Linked DNA regions of Tamandua tetradactyla. The protein of the gene in region 2 interacts with the protein of the main gene of each other region in a biochemical or structural test. Links are inferred from orthologs where the notes say so. Each region holds a gene or a part of one and is shown on either strand. Other genes may lie near its edges.

Region 1 (7,751 bases), on a different chromosome or scaffold from region 2:
TGAGGATATTGTGAATTACTGATTATATATGTAGAGTGGAATGATCAAAAGTTAAAAACGTTTGCGTTTGTTAAATTTTTTTAAAAAATTTTAAAAATTAATTTAAAAAATACTGCTATTAGCCATTTAAAAAAATGTGTGCGGAGGTGACACATATGTGACATCAACTTTCCCGGTTTTAACCCCTTTCAAATATACAATTCACTAGGGAATGGGGAGTTAACAATGGGTACAGAGTTTCTGTTTACGGTGACGGAAAAGGTTTGCTAATGGATGACAGTGAAGGTAGCACCACATTGCAGGCGGAATTAATGCCACTTAATTGTACAGTCAATAATGGTAAAATCGTACATTTTTACTTATTTACTTTATGAGACCGCAATAAAATAAAATAAAATAAAAAGATCCAGAAAGGGCCACAGTGGCTCATGCAGGCAGAGCTCTTGCCCGCCATGCCAGAGACCTGGGTTCCATTCCTGGGGCCTGCCCATGCAGAAAAAAAAAAAAAAAGATCCAGAGAGGAAAGGGCTGGCTTGCAGAGGCCCACAAGTGAGGGGAGAACACTGTGAAAAGAGATTGGGGAACAACAATTTCGGGGTATATACCTAGAAGGGGGATGGCTTGGTCATGTGGTAATTCTATACTTAACTTTCTGAGGAACCGACAAACTGCGCTAAACATAGCAGCTATGTTTTTTCCATAGCAGCTGCATCATTTTACATTCCCACCAATGCATCATTCATTTATTTCCTTATTAGAGGATTTGTAGGTTCACAGAAAAACCATGCATAAAATACAGAGTTCCACGTACCACCTTGTTATCAGCACTATGTATTAGGGTATATGTTTGTTACAATTCCGGAAATAATATTTGTAGAATGGCACAATTAAATTAACTGCACTCCATCCATTGCGATAGGATTCGCTGTGTTGTACAGTCCTATGTTATTTTTGTTTTTATTTTAGTAATATATAGACAACCTAAAATTTCCCCTTTTAACCACATTATACATATATAATTCAGGGTTGTTAATTTCGTCCACAAAGTTGTGCTCCCCCCGCCACTATTCATTACCAATACTTTATGATCAACCCAAATAGAAACTTTGTACAATTTAAGTGTTAACTCCCCATTCTCTCCCCTCAACAATTCCGCTGGTAACCTAGATTCTAGATTCTGACTCCATGAGTTTGCTTATTCTGAATACTTCATATCAGTGAGATCAGACAATATGGGCCTTTTATATTTGGCTGGTTTCACTTAACATGGTGTCTTCAGAGGTTCGTTATGTATCAGAACTTCCTTCTTTTTTTTTAGGGCTGAATAATACTTCACCACATGGACAGACCATATTTTGTTTGTCTGTTCATCTGTCAGAGGATGCTTGGGTTGCTTCCACCTTTTGGCTATTGTGAATAATGCTGTTGTGAACACTGGTATGCAAATATCTGTTCGAGTCTCTGCTTTCAGTTCTTTTGGGTGTATACCTAGAAGTAGGATGGCCCAGTCATGTGGTAGTGGTAGTCATGTGGTCATGTGGTAGTTAAGTCACTTAACTTTCTTCTGGAACCACTGAACTGTTTTCCACAGCAGCTGCACCATTTTACATCCCCGCCAACGCATCCTTCGTTTCGATGGGCAGTGTCCCTGCTTTGGTCAGTGGAAACCACCTTTAGCTGGTTCCGTGTCCTTTTGACATGCTCCCATCATTCCTTGTGCACTTCCGTACTTTCTGGTACAACAAGATGTTCCAGGCTCATCTGGGACTTTCCCTGGAAAGTACCTTTTCTCCAAGGAACCCTGATTCCTTTTTCAAGGGGAATGGTATTTAGAAGCCAAATCAGGGTGTCAGGTGCTGGCTCCATTTTGAAAGTAGACCTAGTAAGATTTGCAGGTGGGTTGGTTGTGGAGTGTAAGAAAAAGAGAGGACATATCAATTTGAGCTTTTTCAAGATCCAGTTGAAATACCACTTTTCTGAAGTCTTCCTAGCCATCTCCGCAGCTGAATCTAGTGCCTATTTTAGCCAATATTATATTATTTGAATGATTTATCCGCAAGGGTGTCTCTAAATGCAGCACAATAATTAAGTAGCAGCCTCTGGTGCCACAGGGGAGACCCCGCGTCTTTAGCCTTTGGCTACACCTGGCTTTAAATCTCATCTTTTGAACTTACTGGTGGTAGGAATGTGGGCAGGTCTCTTAACCGTTTTGCTTCTCAGATTTGTTTCTCAGTTTCTTCACCTGTAAAATGAGAACTAGGCGATGTAGAAGAGGAGATAGGAGGCGGGGTGGTGGTTTTCTTTGAATCCACAGGGTGGGGCAGGGGATAGGAAACGCTCTATAAATATAAAGTGCTTGGCCGTGAGCCTGGCCTGTTGTAAATGCCTCTGGCAGCTTACTTATCCTCTTTGCACCTCAGTTTCCTCATCTGTAAAATGGTTCAGTGTGAGACACAACAGGAAGTATTCTGGTGAACAGTGAGTGTGGGCTCATGGCAGCTGCTGGCATTTTCTCAGGATTGCTTCCCTGTGTTGCCTTGAGAGTAATGGCCGCCTCTTGTTTATATTTTCATCATCTTTAGTCTGTCCTGGTCAGACCCTATTTCTTGACCTCTGTAGGTTAGACCCTGGACTGTCCCCATTCTCTTAGCTTTCCCCAGAATGGATGCCTGAGGCACAGTGGGGGGAACTAACAATTTGGTCAGCAGTGATTCGGTTGAAATGACAAGCTTGGCAAAAATGAAGTCTGCCTCCGTGATTTTTTTTTTTTTTTTTTTTGATATTGGAACTCTTTGTGCATTCTGACAAATATCTTCACCTGTTTTCTAGAATTCAATTTTTTAAAACTCATGCTTTCCTGCTTTTCTGTTTGCATTGGCAAAATATTGGAAAAGTCAATAGGTCTGACCGTGAGATGGTATCTTTTCTTTCATCTTTTTTTTTTTTTCCAGCAATACATGCTCATTATAGAAAGATGAGCATGAATATTCACTACACACTGCTAGTGAAATATTCAAAACAATGTAAATGTTCATCAGTAGGGATTACTTAATTAAATTGTGGTGTGTTCTATGGAATAGTACGCAGCTGTTTTATGCATAGAGATATGTAAATATGTCCCCAAACTGTTGTTCACTAGAAAAGTGCAGGGCAGCACATATGATAAAGTCATATTCATATATATAAATGACATACATGGATGATTGTGCAAACACAGATACTGTCACAAGTGTTTAAGCAGTGGTGTTGGGTATGGATCCTTTCTGCTTTATACCTTTCCCACTTTTGGGAGAAACCATCCAGTATGGGCCCTGAGTATCCCTCCCTGTTCTTTCTGGGCATGGCAAGGAAGCTTTTTACTCAGTTCCATTTCTCAGAGTTGTGTTTTCAGTGAGCCTCCCTGAGGGATGAAGTGTTATCTTCTTCCAGGACAAAGAGTAGGCTTGCTTACTGCCTGCTATAAAAGAGTGGTACCCCCCCAAACTCCATGTTCCCCAGATGCAATGCAAACCCACTGAGTGCAAGGCAGCAATCCGAGCCCCTCTGCGTCACTCCCGTGGGACTTGCGAGTGAGAGGAGCTGATGCGAATGTCCTGCTCATATCGCTTACTGTGCTGTGAGTAGTAAACTCCTGTGTCTCTGACCCTGGAGTCTCATATCTTTGGGTCACACTAACTTGTTGGCTTGTTAGTAGAGGACAATCCCAGACTCTACGGTTTCTTGCTTCAATGTCCTATATATACATGTGTCACTTTTATAATATAAACATCAGTATTGAGTGTGTAAGAAAAGAAAGGCAAAAAGCAAAAACATACGCATACCAAAAGTCAAAGCATACTAATTAGAGGAAAGTTAAGAAAACAGAAACCAGCCAAAGAAGACAATAAAGAACCTCCTACTTATATCTATCCAAAGACAACTTGATAAAATCTCAGTAGACATCTTTCTGGATCATTTTCCATTTAAATTCCCACGTCTCTGTTATTATTCTACAAAAAATATGACCACAGCATATGCAGTGCTGGGTTAATACCTTGTTTACTTAAGCAGCCCATGACTGAGGACCATTGGACTGACCCCTAGCTCCTTGTAATGAACCCAAGAACTAGCCAGGAACACATGGAGCTGCAAAGGCTTTCACTGCCCCCAGCCAGGGTTGGGGATTCCCCTTGCCCTGGTATTTCCTGGGAGCTCTTTGGGCAGGAAATGGCAGGCCCTGGCCTAGCAGTTCGGGGACCACAAAAGCAAAGAAAACCACCCTTCCCTCCTACCTCCTCCCTTGCACCCCTAACTCCTAAGCATGCACTCCCATTACCTGACCCCATCCCTACTCCAGCTCCACCCTTTGCCATTCTAATCCTCAGCCAAGACCCAGGAATCTCCATTCCTATTTCTGAGACCCCAGAACCCTCAGGCCCCACCTCAGACCCCAGAAAGAGTAGGTGATGGTGCTTTCAATGCAGAGCAGCTGCAGGAGAGGGCGGGTCAGGATGCAGGGGTGGGTGTGGGTGGAGCCCGCACTACTTCCTTTCCCCTAGAGGCCTTGTCAGCCCCAGTCCTGCCCCAACCTCCAGAAGAGTTGCAGTGTCCTGGCCCCGGCCCTGTGCCCTCATCATCTGAGCTGGTAAGGGGGTGCGACCTGGGGGGCTGGAGCTTCAGCGCACCTGGGAATGTGCCTCTGGCATGCAAGGATCCTGATGGGCAATGGGGCCAGACAGGGTCCGGGAAGGCCAGGAGATGGTGGCCATTGCTGGGGTCTGAACTGCTAAGGCCTTCGGGGCCTATGGGGTGGTGCTCGTGGGGAGCTGCCAGCATCTGTTCCCTTGCTATTTCTGATAATAGTAAAAGCAAGAGTGGAAAAAGCCGTTAAACCACAAGTTGGGCCTGGCAGTTGGCAGGGAAGTGGGTAGGAGAGGAGGGCCTGGCTAGCCCCCACTCCAGCTCCTTCTGTGTGTTCTCTTTCTCCAACTCCACCCCCCACTCAGGTTCCAAACCCTGCTCCTGCCTGTTGCAATGGAAATGGCCCTGCTTCTCCTCCTCTTTGGAGGCTCCTGGGTCCAGGTCATAAGCATGGAAGCACATTCTCTGGGAAGCACATCTGCACGGGGAGCTTTTGCCAACATCTCAGATAGCACTGTGACCTCCAACTCTTCAATGATAATGGACCCGCAGAAGGTTGGCAGCCCTGGGGACCTTAGCTCAACCCCAGCTTCCTCAGCTTCCTTTATAGCCAGTGAGAACCTTGGCACTGCCTCTCCTGAACCTGGGTCAGCAACCTTCCAAGAAGTTTCCACTAAGCAGCCATCAATCGTCCCAGAAATCTCTAATACAACCAATGACTCTGCTGTCCCTGGAACCATGATTTCTCTGGGGACCCATACTGAGACTAGTGAAACTATGACAAGTGGTGCTCTGGAGAAATTCAATGGGACGAGTGGACCCCCTGTCACCATAACAACTAGTTCTCTGGAGACCTCCAATGTGACTGGTGGACCCTTTGTCACCATGGCAACTACCTCTCTGGAGACCTCCAAAGGAAGGAGTGGACCCCCTGTCACCATGGCACCTACCTCTCTGGAGACCTCCAGTGCAACTGGCGGACCCCTTGTCTCCATGGCAACTACCTCTCTGGAGACCTCCAGTGTAACTGGTGGACCCTCTGCTACCATGGCAACTACCTCTCTGGAGACCTCCAGTGCAACTGGCAGACCCCTTGTCTCCATGGCAACTACCTCTCTGGAGATCTTCAGCGGGAGGAGTGGACCCCCTGTCACCATGACCACTAGCCACCCAGAGACCAGGACCAGCAGCTCTCCTGTCTCTGGGATAGAAGTACCGGCTATGGCCACCTCAGAGGCCTCCATGGACTCAACCACCAGTGGCTCCCTAAGTTCAGATCAGGGGATGAACGGCTCCCTGCTGGTGGCTGTGCTTGTGGCCCTGCTGGTGGTCGGGGTCCTTGTGGCACTGCTTCTGCTGTGGCGCCAGCGGCAGAAGCGGCGGACGGGGGCGCTGACGCTGAACAGGGCTGGGAAGCGCAATGGGGTGGTGGATGCCTGGGCGGGGCCAGCCCACATTCCTGATGAGGAGGCTGTGATAGCCACAGGGGGAGAGCCCGGGGGTGACAAGGGCTCTGGGGTCCCCCCCGCGGAGGGCACTGGCCGAAGGCCCACGCTCACCACTTTCTTTGGCAGACGGAAGTCTCATCGGGACTCCGTGGCTCTGGAGGAGCTGCAGGCTGGGTCGGCCCCCAGCCCAAAGGGAGAGGAAGAGCCGCTGGTGGGCAGAGAGGATGAGGCCTCTGATGGGCCAGAAATAGGAGATGGGAATGCCCTTCAGAGTTTGTGAATAGCAGGAGTGGGGTCAAATTCATTTCCAGCTTTTATCACCTTCCTCCTGCCATCACCTCCAACCTAATCCTCACCCAGCGTGTTCAAAACCAGCACCGTCCCCTGACTCTTCATCCAGCTCCTCCACCCTGGATCTCCCACCAGCATCCTCACCCTGCGTCTTTACCCTGTGTCCTCACCCAGCTTCCTCACCCTGTGTCCTCACCCAGCCTCCTCATCCAGCCTCCTCACCCACCACCTGCATCTGGCACCTCATCAGGGCCTTCACTCAAGGAACATCATTTGTGGACTGAATGAATAAACCTTCTTCACCACTTCCTACTTCTTCTCCCCATCCCTCTCACTACCCCTACACCATCTCTTTCTCTCTCTTTTGCCTTTTGTCCTTGGAACGGCTGCTGAGTCTCCATAATGCCAAACTTACTCCATCTAGGATTTCTTGGACAATTCCTAAGGGGATATCAGAGTCTAGGAAGAAGAAGCAAAGGACATCCTAGTAAACTCCCACCTGGGATTAATTTTGTAGATTATACTTGACCCCAGAGATTCAAAGGACCTCCCTGGCCCTGGGTCAGCCTGGGAACCTACTCTAAGTTTGGGGTCCAGTCTTTGGTGTCAGCTGGGTGGGGCCATCCAGCTGTGTGCTCAGGTGTGCCTGTGACCTTCCCCAGAGAACCTGGACTCGAGGCTGGCCCATGGCCCATCCCGCCACATGGATTGAGATAGCAGAGGCTTGGGGACTTCCTCTTCTCCAGGGCAGAGGTGAGAAGTTTCTGGGCAAGTGTAGTTTTCAGAAAACCCAGCATCTGCGTAAGTTCATTCCTGGATGCAGTTTGTGTGCAAGAAGTGAGGGTTTGGAGGGTTTTGTGATGCGTTGGTGGATATGAACTGAGTGAGGGAGGGCTGCCGGAAGGAGTGCAGAAACTGAGGGCTAGCCAGTCAGAGGCGGGAAACACAGGAACTGCTGAGAACATATGTGCCCTTATTTTGGCTTGGGTGGGGTGGAGGGAGCAAACTTAACTGTGTAGCCCAATAGAGAATGCTTGACTTGCTAGAAAGACCACATGGCAAGAGGAGAAGAGCCTGGGGGCCTGGGGGCAGACAAATTTTGTTGTCCCTCTAAACCTAGTGGTCTTTGCTGACCCACCCCTCTCTGCTTGTCTGTTTGTCCGTATGTCCTCTGAGCGTCTCCCCTTCTCCAGGAGGAATCAGTGAGAGTGAGTCAAATAAGGAGAGGTGACAGGCAGCTGGAACAACACAGAACCTTCCTGCGTGTGTCTGGGATGGAGAGGAGGGGACAAGTTCCGATTGTGTTGTCTCTAGGATCAGTCCAGGCTGGAACCCAGGGGAGTATGTGGGTCACAGGCGGTTGATATTTCCCCAGGGCAAAGAGGAAATTTG
Region 2 (8,061 bases):
TTCTGTTATCCAAGCTATCTATTATCTCTCTCACATTCCTTGTCTTTTTCTCCTTCCTCCTGCTCCTTCCTTTTTATTGTTTTATAAAATTATAAAAGTAATCTCTGTTCACTGAAAAAAATCAAATACCAGTCATCTTTACAATACCAGTCGTCTCTCCAGAGATAACCACTGCTATCAGTTTGCTGTGTATCTTACCCCTTTCCCAGGGACTTTAAAACATATGTGTGAATGCATAGATACTTAATTCATAAATTGGATCATATTATTCATATTGTTCTGTTACTTAATAATAGATCTAAAACCTCATTTCATGGTAGCTCATTCTTTATAAAGGCTGAATAATATCCCATTATATCATTGTTTGGCTATACCATAATGTATTTACTCAATTCTCTAGGGGTGAATATGTAGGTTGTTTCCCTTATTTCATTATTACAGCACCAAGGTAAATGTCCTTACAAATACCTTTTTGTGCACAGGAGAGTGTTTCTGTGAGGTAGATTGGGAGTATAGCTGGCACAGAGTGCACATGGCCTGGGCAGGGCAGCCAGGAGGCAGGGAGACCAGGGTGGAACCTGTTGCAATAGTTCAGGCCAGAGAATGTGAGGGCTGACCTAGGGTATTGGCAATGGAGTTGGGAGAGAGAGAAGCTGAGGACAGAGAGCAGGGTTTGGTAGCCAAATGACAGGGTTCAGGCAGAGGAGAGTTAAAGATGATGATGTGCATACAGAGGACAGTGCTAACAGCAAAACCATCAACAGATATACAGCTGTTGGGAAGGAGAGCTAATAGGGAGGAAAAAGGTGTGTACCCCTTGCAGAGCCTCACATAGACCCTGGCACCAAACAGGCACACGGTCACTGCTGGACCCATGGGTTTGGGGAACAGATGGAGAGTTTCCTCCTAGGTGCATCGAGTTTAAACCGCGGACAGTTCAGGAGGGGCCATAGGCTCAGCTGGCTGTTTTCTCTCTGGGCCCTGCATGCAGACTGGCCACATATATGTGGTCAGTGGTAGGTGGAGCTGGGGCTGGGGGCCAATAACTCGATTGGGAGCCTGGGAGATCCTTTCTGGAAGACTAAGTTCACATTCCAAGAGGACACTGACTCAAACTGAATTGATATTGGCTGACTGTGGGAAACTCTTGAAAAGCTTCCAACATTATTAGAAGAAAAGCCAGAGAAAAACTCTCCTTGCTTTCATTGTGGTCCATTAGTATGATTAATAATAAATATTCCCAAGCACTTAATATTGGCAAGATGCCTTATCACTGCCATTTATTATTACCCACCTGCTACCTCAAGCCTTCTGGTTGGCCACTAAGGTGCAGGAGTGATAAGAATCTTAAAATGCCTCCCTTTCCATAGGTTTGCCTGGTCGCAGATTGACATTGGAAAGGTCACAAGTTCTTGTGATGGAAGGAAGGTGGGCTTTGGTCATAAGTCCTGTGCCCATATTCTGTCCCATCATCAGCAAACCAATATACCTTTTGGATGAGTCACTTGCTCCTCAGAACCTCAATGAACTTACTCCTACCGCTAAAGTTTCTTGTGAGGGTTAGATATTGAAATGTTCTCCCTACTGCTCAGCACTTGATACATGTGTCATTAATGCTATCTTCTCTCCTTTCCTCCAAACCCTAGCTTTTGTTTCTAAGAAGTGGGTGGAAAACTGAGGATGGTTAAAAGCAAGATTTCCCTACTGCTGCAGTTTGTGCTCTCAGTCATATTTTGCCAAGAGGGGGCCTCTTTCCTTTGGTGAGACAGAAATACATTATTTACTTATTCTCTTGTTTCTCTTGTTTGTGTAAGAGACTCAGTTAGCCAAGTGTTTGGGCTACAGCACCATGGTAAGGATGAGAAGGCATGAGTGTGCGGCCTCAGGCTGGTGTTTGACAGCATCTCTCCCTGCTACATTTCTCTCCTCTATGAATGGAAGAGGAACCTTAGAGGCTTAATTAATTCCTTCCCCAAGCATCAATCAGGAGCAGATGTGCTCTAAGTGAAGCAGAAAATATCTAATTTAGACGTGAGGAATGACTTCTAAACACTGATGAAATGAAAAGCAGCCTTCAGAGAGTCCTAAGTGATGGGGAACTTTTATCCAATGGATTGCAGGGGTGGTCTTTATTCAAAGTACACCTGGGATTCAGGATTGCGTTCCATCCAAATTCTTCTCTGGCACTGCCTCTCCTGCACTGCATCTTCTGAAGGAGGAATGTCATTTAGAATGTAGAAGCTTCTTATTGCAGTGAGCATAGATCTTGGGTGGGAACAATATATGTGGAGGTGATTACAAGTCCAATCACATTTCTCTCTTAATCTTGGCATAAGTTGTCAGACAATCAACCTTAGCAGTTAGTGCTTGCCATTCCCAGGTTTGCTGCAGCTCCAGACGATTCCAGCCCCTAAGAAATCCTAGTGCCCAGACCAAATCTTTCTCCCTTAGAGTCCCTGCCCCTCACTCAGATGTCCTTAGGTTCCTTGGACACTAGCTCAAGAATGTTTGTGTACCACCCTCTACTCATCCTAGCTTTCACCTGCCTCTTTTGCTTGAAAAAGGCTTGCCTGCCCCTCCCTGAACTTTCTGAATTCTACCCTTCTAGAAATCTGAGTCTCTTCATACATCTTACTTCCCTCTCTCAGGGCAGCCGATTTTATGTGGGCATCTTTAGGCCCTATTCCCACGTCTTTTCTCTGTAAATACTGGCATAAATTCATATCTAACCCCAGTTGGGGGGATTCCTCTGGCGCCAGGAAGATTTTTCCTGATCCTCAGTGACCCCAGTCTGAGGGAGATTGGAGTAAACAGTCTGGTAATCTATGCTTCCCTCATTTCCCACCCTTTTCCTTCCTAGGAGCCCAGATGCTATCTTTCTCTCTCGGCCCTCTTTCCCTCTTATTCTCTAGCACCCCCACCCACTAATCCACTTTTTACAGCTTTCCCTTTTAATGGTGTGTTCAGTTGCTTGGTATTTCTTAATCAGCTCCTGTGTGTGGAGGGTGGTAGTATGGGGGGTGGGGTGGGGAAGATCATACAAGTTGTTTCCAGGGTGGATCATGAAAGTTGGAGTTTCCAATCAGCTTCCCATCCATCTTTAGGCATTTAGGCTAGTACTACACCCCTGTACTCCAGGTGATCATGAATGAGGGAATCAGTGAGTTCCTTGAACTGGGAAGAGAGGCCATAGCAGTGTCAAGGAGTGTGATGGGCTACTTCTGCTTCCTCTGCTGCTGAAGCTTTTCAGGGAGTGCTTCTCTTCCTTGGGGCAACTGCTCAGCTTTAGAAGACTGTTTGGGCAGGGGACTTTGTTTTCCTTAGCACAGATCAATAAATCTTGGCAGCAGTGAGAGAAACCGAGGCCCACGACTCATGGGCACTAGTGAGCTGGGAAAGCAGAAAAGCAGGGAATAGGATTGCTGATTGTTAAGTACAAATGCAAGGCCTTCCCTTACACAACCCTGCGAGATTCATCTATTGTTCTAAGGAGTCTACTTCCTCTTTCATCCTTTATAATGTCAGAGTGGGGTAGGACCATGGAAGCCTAGGAGTCCAGCCCTTTCTTGTTACAGAAGGGGAAACTCAAGCCAGGAGAGGGGAAGGGACTTGCCCAAGGTAACACAGTGGTTACAGTGAGTCAATGGCAGAGCCATGACTAGAGCCAGATGTCCTGATCTTCACTGTACACATCACCCACCCTTCCCCAACTCAAATAACCTTTCCAGTGCCACCAAATGGCTCCTTTTCCCATCCCTGAAGGGTGTGGTGCTCTACTTCACAAAGGATACTCAGACCATGGCTCCAACCAGTTGCCAGTGGATAGGTGGAAAAAAGACACTTTCAAACGAAAATTCAGAGTTAACCATATAACCACTACAGTCTAGCTGTTCTGATATTTTGTAATCTTGACAAGAAGTAGAAAGGGAGTTGGAAGACACACCAAGGCAGTGGACTAGGGGTGTATCTAAACTAGGGGGAATTATAGCCTCCTTAGAAAGTGAATGTGTGTGTGTTGGAGGAGGGTCTAAAGGGTCAGGGTACTGATTTGAGGAATGTGGGGGGTGGGATTTGGAGGAAGGAAAGTGAATAGAGGATAATATGGGGAAAAGGAACCCAATTCTGATGAAAATGAGGACTGAAAAAGGAAGGTAAGGAAATCTGAAGGGTAAGGGTTACAGAGTTTTACAGATGAGAACGGATAAAGGATTGGAAGAGCTGAGGCAATTTAGCTAAGAGAAGAAAAGTTTCAGGGAGTCGTGGGATCCCGTCTTCAGCAGCAGGGGGTTTGTGTGACTCAAGGGAGAAAAACTGAGGCCCACTGCTAGAAGCCACGAAGAAAAGGAGTACAGAAACACACAAAGAGAGACTGTTTAAGAGTCAGGGCTCTCTTGAAAAGGAATGGGCTACCCTGGTAGGTAGTGAGTTTCCCATCAATGGAAAGTTGCTGCAGGGGTTGGTGTAAGCATCCGCTGGGGCGCGGCTCAGGGGACGGACTCCGAGTGGGGGTGGGGCCGGATAGTCCGGACCAGGAGGGTTAGGAGCGATGAGGGAGGGGTGGGAGAGGAGCAGGGTGGGCCTAGGGTGGGGGTGAGTCCTCCTGGTAGCCAAGGCTGAGCTCAGAACCCAACGTGGTTGGTGTGGCCCGGCCGGGTAGGGCTGGGTGGGCGGGGCAAGGCCGGCAGCCGATTGGAAGGCGGGCACAAGGGCGGGGAGCGGCGCGGAAGCCTGGCCACATAAAGGAGCAGGCGGCGCGACGGGGGCGGCTCTTTCCTGGGTGGGGTTTGTGCAGTCGTGGCCCGTTAGCAGGAAGCCGAGCAGTCGCTCCGACGCTACAGAGGGACCCAGTTTGAGCCCCCGGTCCTCCCCCAGCCCCCCGAGCCCGAGCCTTGTGTACTACGCGCCCAGCGCTGCCCGACAGCTCCCGGCCAAACTTCACCAACTCCTCTGCCTTAGCCACCACCATGCCCAAGACGGTGAGTGCCGGCGGTGGGCGCTGACGATCCCGGGGGCTCTAGCTGTGGTCCTTAGTTGATGGCCGGGGATTTAGCCGGCCAGCCGCCCACCTGAGACGCCGCGCGGTACTTAGTGGTCAGGGTGGGGAGAGGTCGGGAGTGGGGTACCCGTCTGGCGCGCCCTCAGGGGTGGGGGTGGGGTCTCAGTGCTAGAAGTGTGGACGGGGTTGGGCCGCCGCTTTCTCAGGTTCCAGTTCCCTGCGTTGGCAATGCGGGAGTGGCATAGGCTTCATTGAGGTTCCGGGTCTCCCCTTGCTCCTGAAGGGCTGTGGCCTGAAGGGAGAGAAGACTTGGGTCTGGAGGGGAACACTTCCTCCTCCCTAGAAATTGGTGCCTTTTTGGGGCAAGGCTGCTACTGGCCTAGAAGGGTCATGGACAGAGAAGGGGGAAGAATGGAGGAAGCTTCCCAGGGCGGATCCCTCACCCCCATTCACCTTTCCCACAGCCGCCCTCCCCTCCGCTCCCCCGGGCTACCCCAGCTGTTTCTCGCTAGGAGGGAAGGAGAGAGTTATGGAGGGACTCATAGAAGCTGCTGACTTTTACCCAGGAGCAACAGTAGTTCACTAGGCGCCATACTGAATAGAGGCCTGCGCCACGTCCTGGGGGAGAGAACTCGGTTCTCCCTCCTATTTATCCAAGAAATCCCTGCCGTTTTCATTACTTAATGCCTCCCTATCCCCTCCTGTTCCCTCAGGACTGTTCTGTGAGGTGTGGGTTCTCTCCTGCTGGGCCACACCTTTGTGGAGTGGTTGTTGCCTCAAGGATCTGATCTCCACCCCACAGGCTGTTTTGAGAAGAGCAGAAACCTTCTGGGAGTGGGGCCTAAGGGGGGCCGGATGCCCAGGAGGGAGGGGCAAGGGAGGGGTGTGCCTGACTAATGAGCCCTGCTTGCTTTTGTGCAAGTCACGCCAAATGGCTGCTGGGGCCCTTGCCTTGCTCAGGCAGGCCTGATGACCACCCTGGCTTGAGTCTCTTAGGCTAAGCAGTTTGTTGGGCTTGGCTTACTCTCCGTAAGACTGCCTGAGCCTTATAGAGTTGAGATAGTGGCCAGTAATGTTGAGAAGGGTTGAGGGCTTCTGGGCTGAGAGGAGGGATTGGAGGGCCCAGTTCTTCTGGGGTGTGCTGAGCTTTGGTTGCCACACTGCTGTGTTCCAACCTCATTGTCAGGTCTTTCTTGCCTTTCCAGAACCCTGTCCCTCAGAAACATCAAGTTTTCAACTAAGTATGCTCTTTCACCATCTCTCTTTTAAATTACTGGTGGTTTTAAGATGTGGGCTTTGCCACACTTTCGCACAAACACCTCCCCCCTTACACGTGTAAGAGAATGAAAAGAGAGGGCTTTGAAAAAGAGAGGGTAAAGAACAAAACAAGACATTTTCTCAGCCAAAACAAAGGCTTGTAAGGATCCTTCCAGGAATCTGTCTTTGGATCTACCTCTCTATGGTTGACCTGTTGACTCTTAAGGTGTTGTTTTGCCTAAAGAGTTGGGGAGTGGAGGTGGTGGTGCACAGTCTCTGGGAATAGACTGCCCCTTGGCCTCTCACCTAATGGCATCTCTCATTATCAATTCTGAGATATCCCACCAGTAAATGCAACTTGATGGGCCTGAAAGTTGTCTCAATGTTGCCTTAACCATCCCATCTTGGTCAAAAGTGACAATGAAGGCAACATGGTAATCGTTTTCCTGGGTATGGAGAGAGACTAGAGAGAGACTGGAGGCGGTGTGTCGTCAGGCCCAGCGTTCTGAAGGTAGCTGAATACTGAAGATATTTTTATGTAGGTTGACTGAAACTTGAATCAAATTGGAGGAAAAGGCTGAATTTTGATAGACTGGAAGGACTGGAGAATTTTCCATGCTGTTTGGTTTAAGGAATGGTCAACTCTTAGGAGTTATTAGAGTTATTTATCATGTCTGTTAAGACCATAGGTTCTTAATTGGAAAGGGACTTCAGAGACTATTTATCCAGTATAACCCTCTTTTTTTTTTTTTCCTCTTAACTAACGAAGATGTTTAGGCCCACAGGAAAGGGTCTATCTAAGGGCACCTGGTGACAAAGCCAAGATTGCAGGCCAGGTTTTTTCATGTTCATCCCATTGAACCCCTATTCTGACCCACTGATTGAGTTCTTGAAGTCTGAATTCCCTCTCTTACCCAAAGCTAATTGCCCCTGGTTCTTAAGGCTTCATGGTCCCCAGAAAAAAGGGCAAACTGATCAATGTTGGCATTTGTGTGGTCTCCTACTGAGAGTTGGGGGTGTTACAAGGTGTCTCCTAGTACTGGGACATTGAAGGGCACACCCTAGTCAACATAATACCAGCCAGTAACTTTAACGAAGGGGAAAAAATTCCTTATTCTTCACCCTTTCTTTATTGGTGTGCTCTAAGTTATTTCTGGAGTATGACAGATAGGGAAAAGTAGTAGAAAAAATCAAACCCTTTCATTCATATTAACCATGTCTACAGTCTTTCCAGGACTGGTTTCAGTTATACTACCAATTATCTCCTCTAGTCAGGTGAATCTCCCTTAAGTCTGTTAAAACTTGCCCTGACCCCAACTCTTGGACTCTGCTTCTGATAGCCTATTTACTGAGTCTGCTTTAGTGCCAGAATGGAGAGGCTTACTGATGTCCATTTATGCTTTATGGTGACAATTAGACATTATAGAAAAGATCTTTCCCCTTTCTTGCTCCCTTTAACTTTTTTTTTTTTAGATCAAAAAGGCCTTAGGGCTCTGTTAGATTCCCTAAAAATAGCATGTTTTGACTCATTGAGATATTCTTGTATTTTTGGTTTCATTATTTAGGGTTTATTGAACATCAGTGTTGAAAAGTCTTCTCATAACTATCAAGTCCAATCATTCTTGTTATACAGCTGGGGAAGCAGACCCACAGATAAGGACGGACTGACCTAGAGTGCTGAAATATATCAGTGGCAAAGTTAGCACTTGAATCTGGATCTTAGTTTAGAGGGTCAGTTTTGATATAAACTCTTCAGTTTTCTGGGTTTTCAGCCTTAGCTCAACAGGTCAGGGGAAAGGCAATCAAGT
Region 3 (7,977 bases), on a different chromosome or scaffold from region 2:
ATGCTTTTTTGTTGTTGTTGGTTGCTTTTTGGAGTGCATGGGCTGGGAATCAAACCAACCCTGGGCAGGCGAGAATTCTACCTCTAAACTACCCGCGCATCTCTATTTCTAAACAAGACATCCTTCATTCTACCGCACTTCATTTTTTTTTAATTTATTAATTTTTAAAAATTTTAACAACAAACAAATTAAAACATTGACATCACTCCGTTCTACACTGTTCTAGTTTGCTAGCTGCTGGAATGCAACACACCAGAGACGGATTGGCTTTTAATAAAAGGGGATTTATTTTGTTGGTTCTTCAGAGGAAAGGCAGCTAACTTTCCACTGAGGTTCTTTCTTACGTGGAAGGCACAGGATGGTCTCTGCTGGCCTTCTCTCCAGGCCCCTGGGTTCCAACAACTTTCCCTGGGGTGACTTCTTTCTGCATCTCCAAAGGCCTGGGCTGAGCTGCGAGTGCTGAGATGAGGAATGCAGAGCTGCTTAGGCTGTGCTACATTGCGTTCTCCCATTTAAGCACCAGCCAATTAAGTCAAACGTCACTCATTGCAGCAGACACGCCTCCTAGCCCACTGCAGATATAATTAGCAACAGATGAGGTTCACGTACCATTGGCTTGCTTGTGTCCACAGCAACAAAACTAGGTATGCGCACCTGGCCAAGTTGACAACTGAATCTAACTAACACATACATATATAATCAGTAATTCATAATATCACCACATAGTTGCATATTCATCATTTCTTAGAATATTTACTGTACTTCATTTTACTGTGCTTCGTAGATACTGTTTTTTTTACAACCTGAAGTTTTTGGGGCAATCCTGCATCAAGCAAGTGTATTGGTGCCAACTTTCTTCCCTTTATTTTTTTGAAAGCAGTTTTTTCGCGATAAATACACATGCCGTACAATCCATCTAAAGTACAGAATTGCTGTCTTCTAGTATCTTTGCAAAGTCGTGCACACATCGCCACAATTAATTCTAGAACAATTTCGCCCTGAAGAGGGTTTGCTATGTTATACATCCTATGTGTCACGCTCTGGCTTTCCTTCTAAACTTTTCCTTTCAGCTGTACCCACCTATCCTTCGTCTTAGATACACTCCTTATAACGTGCTCCCATCACCTCCATCCATTCCCAAACATTCCCAATCAACCTTACTACAGATTCTGCACAAATTAAGCATCAGCTGCCCATTTTCTGCCCTCATTCTGTCTTCTGGTGACCTATTTTCTATATATCAACACCATGCGTTTGCTAGTTATATTTAGTTCCTATCAGGGAGATCACACACTGCGTCTGACTTCTTTCACTCAAGATAATATCCTTGAAGTTCATCCATGTTGTCACATGCTTAAGTCATGTCATCAAGACTTAATTTCTTCTTACAGCAGCATGATATTCCATCATATGTGTATACCACATTTTGTTTGTCCATTCGTTGTTTGATGGAACCTGGATTGTTTCCCTCTTTTGACGATTGTGAATAATGCCGCTTTGAACATTGTATGCCAATGTCTGTTTGCTACTCTGTTCTAGTTTCTCTCTCATCTGGAAGGGCACATGGTGAACCCGGCATTGACTGCTAGCTTTCTCTCCTGGTTTTCCTGTTTCATGAAGCTCCCTGAGATGTGTTTTCCTTCTTCATTTCCAAACGCTGGTGGATAATGCTTCTCGTGGCTGTGTCGTTCTGCTCTGCTCTCTCTGAATCTCCTTTCTCCAAAATATTTCCTCTTTTATAGGATTCCAGTAAACTAATCAAGACCCACCCAAATGGGTGGAGACACGCCTCCACCTACTCCAGCTTACAACCACTTTTGATTAAATCACATCTCCAGAGAGAAGATCTAATTACAGTTTCAGACATACAATACTGAATAGGGATTAGAAGAAACGGCTGCCTTTACAAAATGGGATTAGGTTGAAAACATGGCTTTTCTAGGGTACATACATTTCAAACTAGCGCAGATCCTGCTTTCAGTTCTTCTGAGGTAGATACCTACCTAGTAGCTGGAATGCCAGATCATATGGCAGTTCTATACTTAGAGTCCTAAGGAACTGTTATCTGAGCCTTTTTTCCAACAGCATGTGCTCACTTTGTGTCTCTCTGTCACATTTTAATTAAGATATATACAATGTTTTTTTTTTTTTAGAGCTAATGCTATAGTGCCCTTAAACCCTACAGTCTAGTGTAGAGGTAGCTTTTATGTGCACTGGAAAACAAAAAAATTTTGTGTCTCACTTCATTGCAATATTCTTTTTATTCTAGACCAAGGCCCAGTAGCTCCTGTAAATCATGTTCATGGGTTTGGGGAACTAGGACTTCATCTGTTTGTGGCACACAATTCAACCCACGTCATCATGCAATATCCTGTTGGGGCTTCTCTGGGATGGCATTTGCCTTGTCATTTCATTAGAAAAGCCCTAACGTTTTGTAGTTTTGAGTAGCATTTTCCCACCTGATTGGGACCAGGGTGGCTTCATCTGTAAAACGGAAAAAACGAGGGGACTTTGTGGGCTTAGGGGGGAGGGTTAGAAGCTCTGCGTGCATATTAAAGTGCTTAATCATGCCAGGCTAGGAGGGAGAGTCATCATCATCGTGTTCCTGCTGAGGACGGGATGAAGACTGCTGCAGCCCTTAGGTCAGTGAGACAAGAATCCCACCCACCTACAGTGTCCACCTGAGATGCAAGCTACACCTGAGACACAAGCTGCACCTGACATGCAAGCTGCACTTAGGATGCAAATTCTACCTGGGATGCAAACTACATCTGGATGCAAACTACACCTGGACATGAGCTACACCTGTATGCAAACAACACCTGGGACACAAGCTACACCTGGGATGCAAACTACATCTGGATGCAAGCTACACCTGGACATGAGCTACACCTGGATGCAAGCCTCCCCTGTATGCAAACAAGGCCTGGGAGGCAAGCTACACCTGGGCTGCACCCCGAGGGCTCAAGCTTAGAGCTGCGCGTGTGTTCTTTTGCTTCAGGTGCCTGGTTCCTCCCATGCCTCTAGGAGGCAGGGCCTCTGAACATCCCCACTTTAGAGACAACGAAACTCAAGGTTCCAAGCACAGCCTGACACAAAATCACAGCTAATAAACCACTTCACATCTTCACATGGCTTCTGGGTGTGAGGGACACCCCTCAGCTCAGACGTCAGCCTTTAATGTCAGGTCTCTGGGCCCCCACTGAGGTGAGCAGAGATGGGCTGGGACTGTCATCGCCTCTGCCTTCTGGAAACTTGGCTGCCGCTGCCACCCCCACTTCCTCCCGGGATACCCCACTTCTCCGTCCACTCCCCCTTGGCCCGGGAGCGTGGGGCATTGACCTGGTGTGACCTGACTCATCTGCAAGGCAAGGACAGGAGCACAGAGGGAATGGATCATCTGTCCCCTTTATCAACCGGCGTTTTGTCTCTTCTGCCACTCTCCAACGGGACAACGTAACCAGGAGTCCATGGGAGCCTGGGAGGGCCCCACAGAAGGATTCCAGGGGCCACAAACCCTCGAGCCTCCCGTACCCAATCTCCATGTGCATCCATTCAACAAATATTTGTTGAGCACTGTTTTAGTTTCCTAGGCTGCTTAAAGCAAATACCGTGAAATGGTTCAGCACGAGCAATGGGAATGTATTAGCTTACAGTTTGAGGCCAAGAACATATCCAAATCAAGGCGATGCTTTCTTCTCAAAGGCTGCTGCTGGTGACCCTTGGCTCCTCTGTCACCTGGCAGGGCACATCGTGGTGTCCGCTGGGTCCTCCCTTCTTTCCGGGTTTCATTGACTTCAGCTTCTTGCATCTATGTCTCTCTCACTCTCTCCATTCCATTTATAAAGGACTCCAGCAAGAGGTTTAAGACCCATCCTGATGATATTGCGAGCCATTGATTGTATACTTCACACTTTGGATGGATTGTACGGTGAGTGAAGATATCTCAACAAAAATTAAAAAGACAAACACTGGGGAAAAAAGATGCATCCTGAAAGAGGTGGCTCATGCCTGAACTGAAGCAGCCTCATCAGAAGATCCTACTTACAATGGGCTCACACCCACAGGCATGGAGTAAGTATAGGAACATGCTTTTCTGGGGTACAGAAAACCACACGAACACGGGCCATGGGCCTGGCGTGGTTTGAGTCACTGGGACACAGCTGTGAACTAGACAAAGCTTCCTCCCTTATGTTCTCAAGATTCGATGAACTGCAAGACGAAACCAGTGAGAAAATTTTAAGTACATAAGTCGATGACTTCTGGGGGGAAAACTAAAGTCAGAGTGTGAAATGGGAGACCAGGGAAGGCCTTGCTAAGGTGCCATCAGAGCAGGCAGAGGGGAAGGAGGAAGCCAGGTGGATGTGTAAAGGAAGAGTGGCCCAGGCAGAGGGAACAGCCCATGCAAAGGTCCTGAGGCAGAGATGTGCTGGGTGGGATTGAGGCCCAGCATAGAGGCCAGCGTGGCTGGAGCAGAGAGAGGGAAGGGGAGGCGGGGAGGAGCTGAGGTCAGCGGGGATAGGAGCAGGTAGGGGCCAGATGAATACTCTGCTTTAATTTGGCTTGGGAGTTGCTGGAAGGTGTTAAGTAGAGGGGGTGCTGAGATTGGATTGGGATTTGAGTTGCTCCCTCAATACCATGTGGAATTGTTTGGGCTTGGGGTGGGGGTGGGGATCCTCCAGGTGGGAGAGGGGGTGGGGTGAAGCTTTAGGGATGGGGAGAATGGATGAAGCTGGGGCACCATCAAAGCTATCAACCAAGTCTGTTTTATGGAGCTCGGAGGCAGGATAAGACGCCCCAGAGATGGAAGCGCAGGTGGAGGGGGTCTGCCCACCTGGCCCCTCGGCCCCTTCTCTTGGAGCGAAGAGACCAGCTGTCTGGAGGGAAGGGTGATGAGGGGGACCGGGCAGGGGTGAAGGCCAGTTACAAGCAGCATCCTCAAGACCCAGGGGCCCCGGTCTCGGCCATTGTCAAGGAAAGGGCCCTGCAGGAAGCCAAAGCGGGGCTGGCTGCTCAACCCAGCTCCTGGCACCAAGCCAGCACTCAATCCCCATGGGCTCTGTTCATTTTTTAGGGCTCTTTCTAGGGGATCCCTTATTATCACCCCAAAACCTCTTCTCTGATCACCAGGAACGCTGAGATCTCACACTAACCCCTGGAGGCCATGCCTTGAACTCCTTCTTGAAATACCACCTGATCAGCTCAAAGTCATTTGCGTAGAGCTTCCCACTGACTTCCTCTCTGGGGGCACAGCGCCTCGTGCCCAAGGTTCAGCGGGAAGGCGGGGTCCCTTCCCCTCCAACTTCCCTCGCCGCTGGGGTCCTTAGTACTGAGAACAGAGGAAGACGGTTGGGTTTGCGCTTCCTGTGTGTTCATTTAGGGGACCGCAGAGCTACTGGGACCGGCTCTGTCGGGGACTCACCAGCACCCACCGCCTCGCAGGGCCCCCCCGAGCTGTCCCCTGCAGGCCAGGACCCCCAACCCGAGGCCGCAGAGCCTCCCGCTGCCCCTTCCCCAGGCCTGGCCAAGGTGTGGCCCCTGGATTTCTGCAATCTTAACCGCCGTACTTCCGTCCCTTGGGCGGCCCCACCCCTGCCCCCTACGCCACCTTCCTGTGTGCCACGGGCTGGCCACCATGGTGCCCTCGGGGATGCTGCCTGCGGCCCACCAGGTTCTGTTTGTCTTCGCGCTGCTGGCCTGCCTGCTGCCCCCAGGTGAGCTGGGGTGGGTTGGGGCAGGGTTGGTGGGAAATGGGGGAGCAGAGAAAGCCAAGCTCCCCCACATTCACTGGCCTGGCTGCTTCGCACCTTTCTTTGAACTCAGATCTGACAGAGGGCTCCCCGGTGTCCTCGGGAGGAAGTTGTGCATCCTTAACTCAGGCTCCAGGGCATCCCGGGGCCCCGACCCTGCACATAGTTTGCGTTCTCTTGTTCATCTCCCCACCCATCCACCCACGACTCCCCTGTTCTGTTGGGAACCCCAGCCTTTGCCTATGCTATTCCTCTGCCAGAAACGCTCTTCCCTTTCATTTGGTGAACTCCTATTCACCCTTCAAAACACATTGTAGTTGCCCCCTCTTCTCCAAGAAGCTTTTCCTGACTCACACCCCACTTGGGACTGGATCAGGGCCTCCCCTGGAGTCTCCCCACCCCTGATCAATCATCTGTCCTCCCCCATGGAGGGCAGGCGTCCTTCTGGTGGGGCTCCCCTTTAGATCCCAGAATGAGGAGGTGCTGAATGGTGAGGGGGTGGGGTGGGGGAAGTCAGGGGAGCAACCAACCGAGCTTTCCCGGGTCTCACAGGCATCTGGGGACAGGCATTCTCGCTGTGGGTGGAGCCCCAAGAGCCGCTGGTGCCCCCCCGCGGGTCCCTGCTGGTAAACTGCAGCACCAACTGCCCCGGCACCCCCCACATCACCCTGGAGACGTCCTTGGACAAGGAGCTGCAGGGCCGCGGCGCCAGCTGGGTGGCCTTCTGGCTGCACAAGGTGACTGATGACAGTCGGGTCCTGTGTGCCGTGTCTTGCCACGGCTCCCAGATGTCAAGCTCCACCAACATCACCGTGTACCGTGAGTGGAGTGGCCACGGGCAGTGGGGAGGGGGCGGGCCTGGGGAGGTCACGTCGGTGGGACTAGACTGCCAGCCCTGGACAGACAGGGGGGACACATCTCAACCACATGCTAAGGACAGCAGTGCTGACAGCAGTTTGTCTGGGGTCCCGATAAGCATTTTTACAATGGCATCTCAGGTAATTTATTTATTACTTTAATTTTTATGCTAGGTAATTCGTGTGCAAAAAGTATAAAAAAAAAATGGTGCAAACGCAAAATCTACATTTACCTAATGCTGATGACCAGAGGGCTCTCTTCTAAGCGCTTCACCCCTAGTTGCTCACTCAGCCCGTACAGAAGTCCCCAGCAGAGAGGTGCAGGCATGACCCTCGTTTTGCAGGTGGGGAAACTGAGGCTCGGTGGGGAGAAGCCACTAGTCAGGGTTCCCAGCCCATGAGGTGAGAAGCTGAAAGTCTGGTTCCTTTAACATTTTTTTATTGCGAAATATAACATATACAAAAAAAAATACATTTCCAAGAACATCGCAACAATGTGTTGTAGAACAGATTTCAAAGTTTGGTATGGGTTACAATTCCACAATTTTAGGTTTTTATTTCTAGCTGCTCTAAGATACTCGAGACTAAAAGAAAGATCAGTATAGTGATTCAGCAATCATACTCGTTAATTAAACCCTACCTTCTGGGTGGGCCACGGTGGCTCAGAAGGCAGAGTTCTCACCTGCCATGCTAGAGACCCAGGTTTGATTCCTGGTGTCTGCCCACGCAAAAAACAAAACAAAACAAACCAAAAAAAACCCCTACCTTCTCTGTATAACTCCACCATTACCTTTGATCTTTTTCCCACTCCTTAGGGGTATTTGGGCAATGCCCATTCTAACTTTTTCATGTTGGAAGAGGCTGTCGATAATATGGGGTAGGGAGATGGAACTAGCTGATGTTCTGGAGAGGCTGGGCCCTCTAGGTTTCAGGACTTATCTGGTCCAGGGACCCATCTGGAGGTTGTAGGTTTCTGGAAAGCTAACTTAGTGCATGGAATCCTCGTGGAATCTTATACATTGCCCTAGGTGTTCTTTAAGATTGGCTGGAATGGTTTGGGTTGGGGGTCGGCAAGCTATGGTAGCCGCAAGGTCTAACTGCAGCTTGCATAAGAGTAACCTCCAGAGTAGCCTCTCGACTCTATTTGAACTCTCTCTGCCACGGGTACCTTATTTTGTTACACTTCTTTTCCCCCTTTTGGTCGGTATGGAATTGTTGATCCCACGCTGCCAGGGAGACTTCCAAGTCCCCACTCTTAAAGGTGGGGTCTTCCTCCCTCAACCCTCCACCCCCATGACCAGTTTCTTCTGAACCTTCCGGAGTTTCTCTGCATTTTAAAAAACAGGACAGACTGTGTCACAAACAGTGAT

The links. The genes of interacting proteins can lie anywhere in the genome.
Region 1: the proteins of MSN (region 2) and SPN form a complex in vitro, tested with the Homo sapiens proteins (2 studies listed by BioGRID). The link is inferred for Tamandua tetradactyla from reciprocal best matches to the Homo sapiens genes MSN and SPN.
Region 3: the proteins of MSN (region 2) and ICAM3 form a complex in vitro, tested with the Homo sapiens proteins (2 studies listed by BioGRID). The link is inferred for Tamandua tetradactyla from reciprocal best matches to the Homo sapiens genes MSN and ICAM3.

Annotation. Positions count from the first base shown.
Region 1 is NC_135349.1:24,228,317-24,236,067, forward strand, and holds the start of SPN (leukosialin), read left to right. Parts: upstream 1-4,510; 5' UTR 4,511-4,624; intron 4,625-4,985; 5' UTR 4,986-5,013; coding exon 5,014-6,348; 3' UTR 6,349-7,751. UniProt on the Homo sapiens protein: Predominant cell surface sialoprotein of leukocytes which regulates multiple T-cell functions, including T-cell activation, proliferation, differentiation, trafficking and migration.
Region 2 is NC_135353.1:107,466,032-107,474,092, reverse strand, and holds the start of MSN (moesin), read left to right. Parts: upstream 1-4,748; 5' UTR 4,749-4,964; coding exon 4,965-4,976; intron 4,977-8,061. UniProt on the Homo sapiens protein: Ezrin-radixin-moesin (ERM) family protein that connects the actin cytoskeleton to the plasma membrane and thereby regulates the structure and function of specific domains of the cell cortex.
Region 3 is NC_135337.1:91,448,863-91,456,839, forward strand, and holds the start of ICAM3 (intercellular adhesion molecule 3), read left to right. Parts: upstream 1-4,736; 5' UTR 4,737-5,635; coding exon 5,636-5,714; intron 5,715-6,302; coding exon 6,303-6,569; intron 6,570-7,977. UniProt on the Homo sapiens protein: ICAM proteins are ligands for the leukocyte adhesion protein LFA-1 (integrin alpha-L/beta-2). ICAM3 is also a ligand for integrin alpha-D/beta-2. In association with integrin alpha-L/beta-2, contributes to apoptotic neutrophil phagocytosis by macrophages.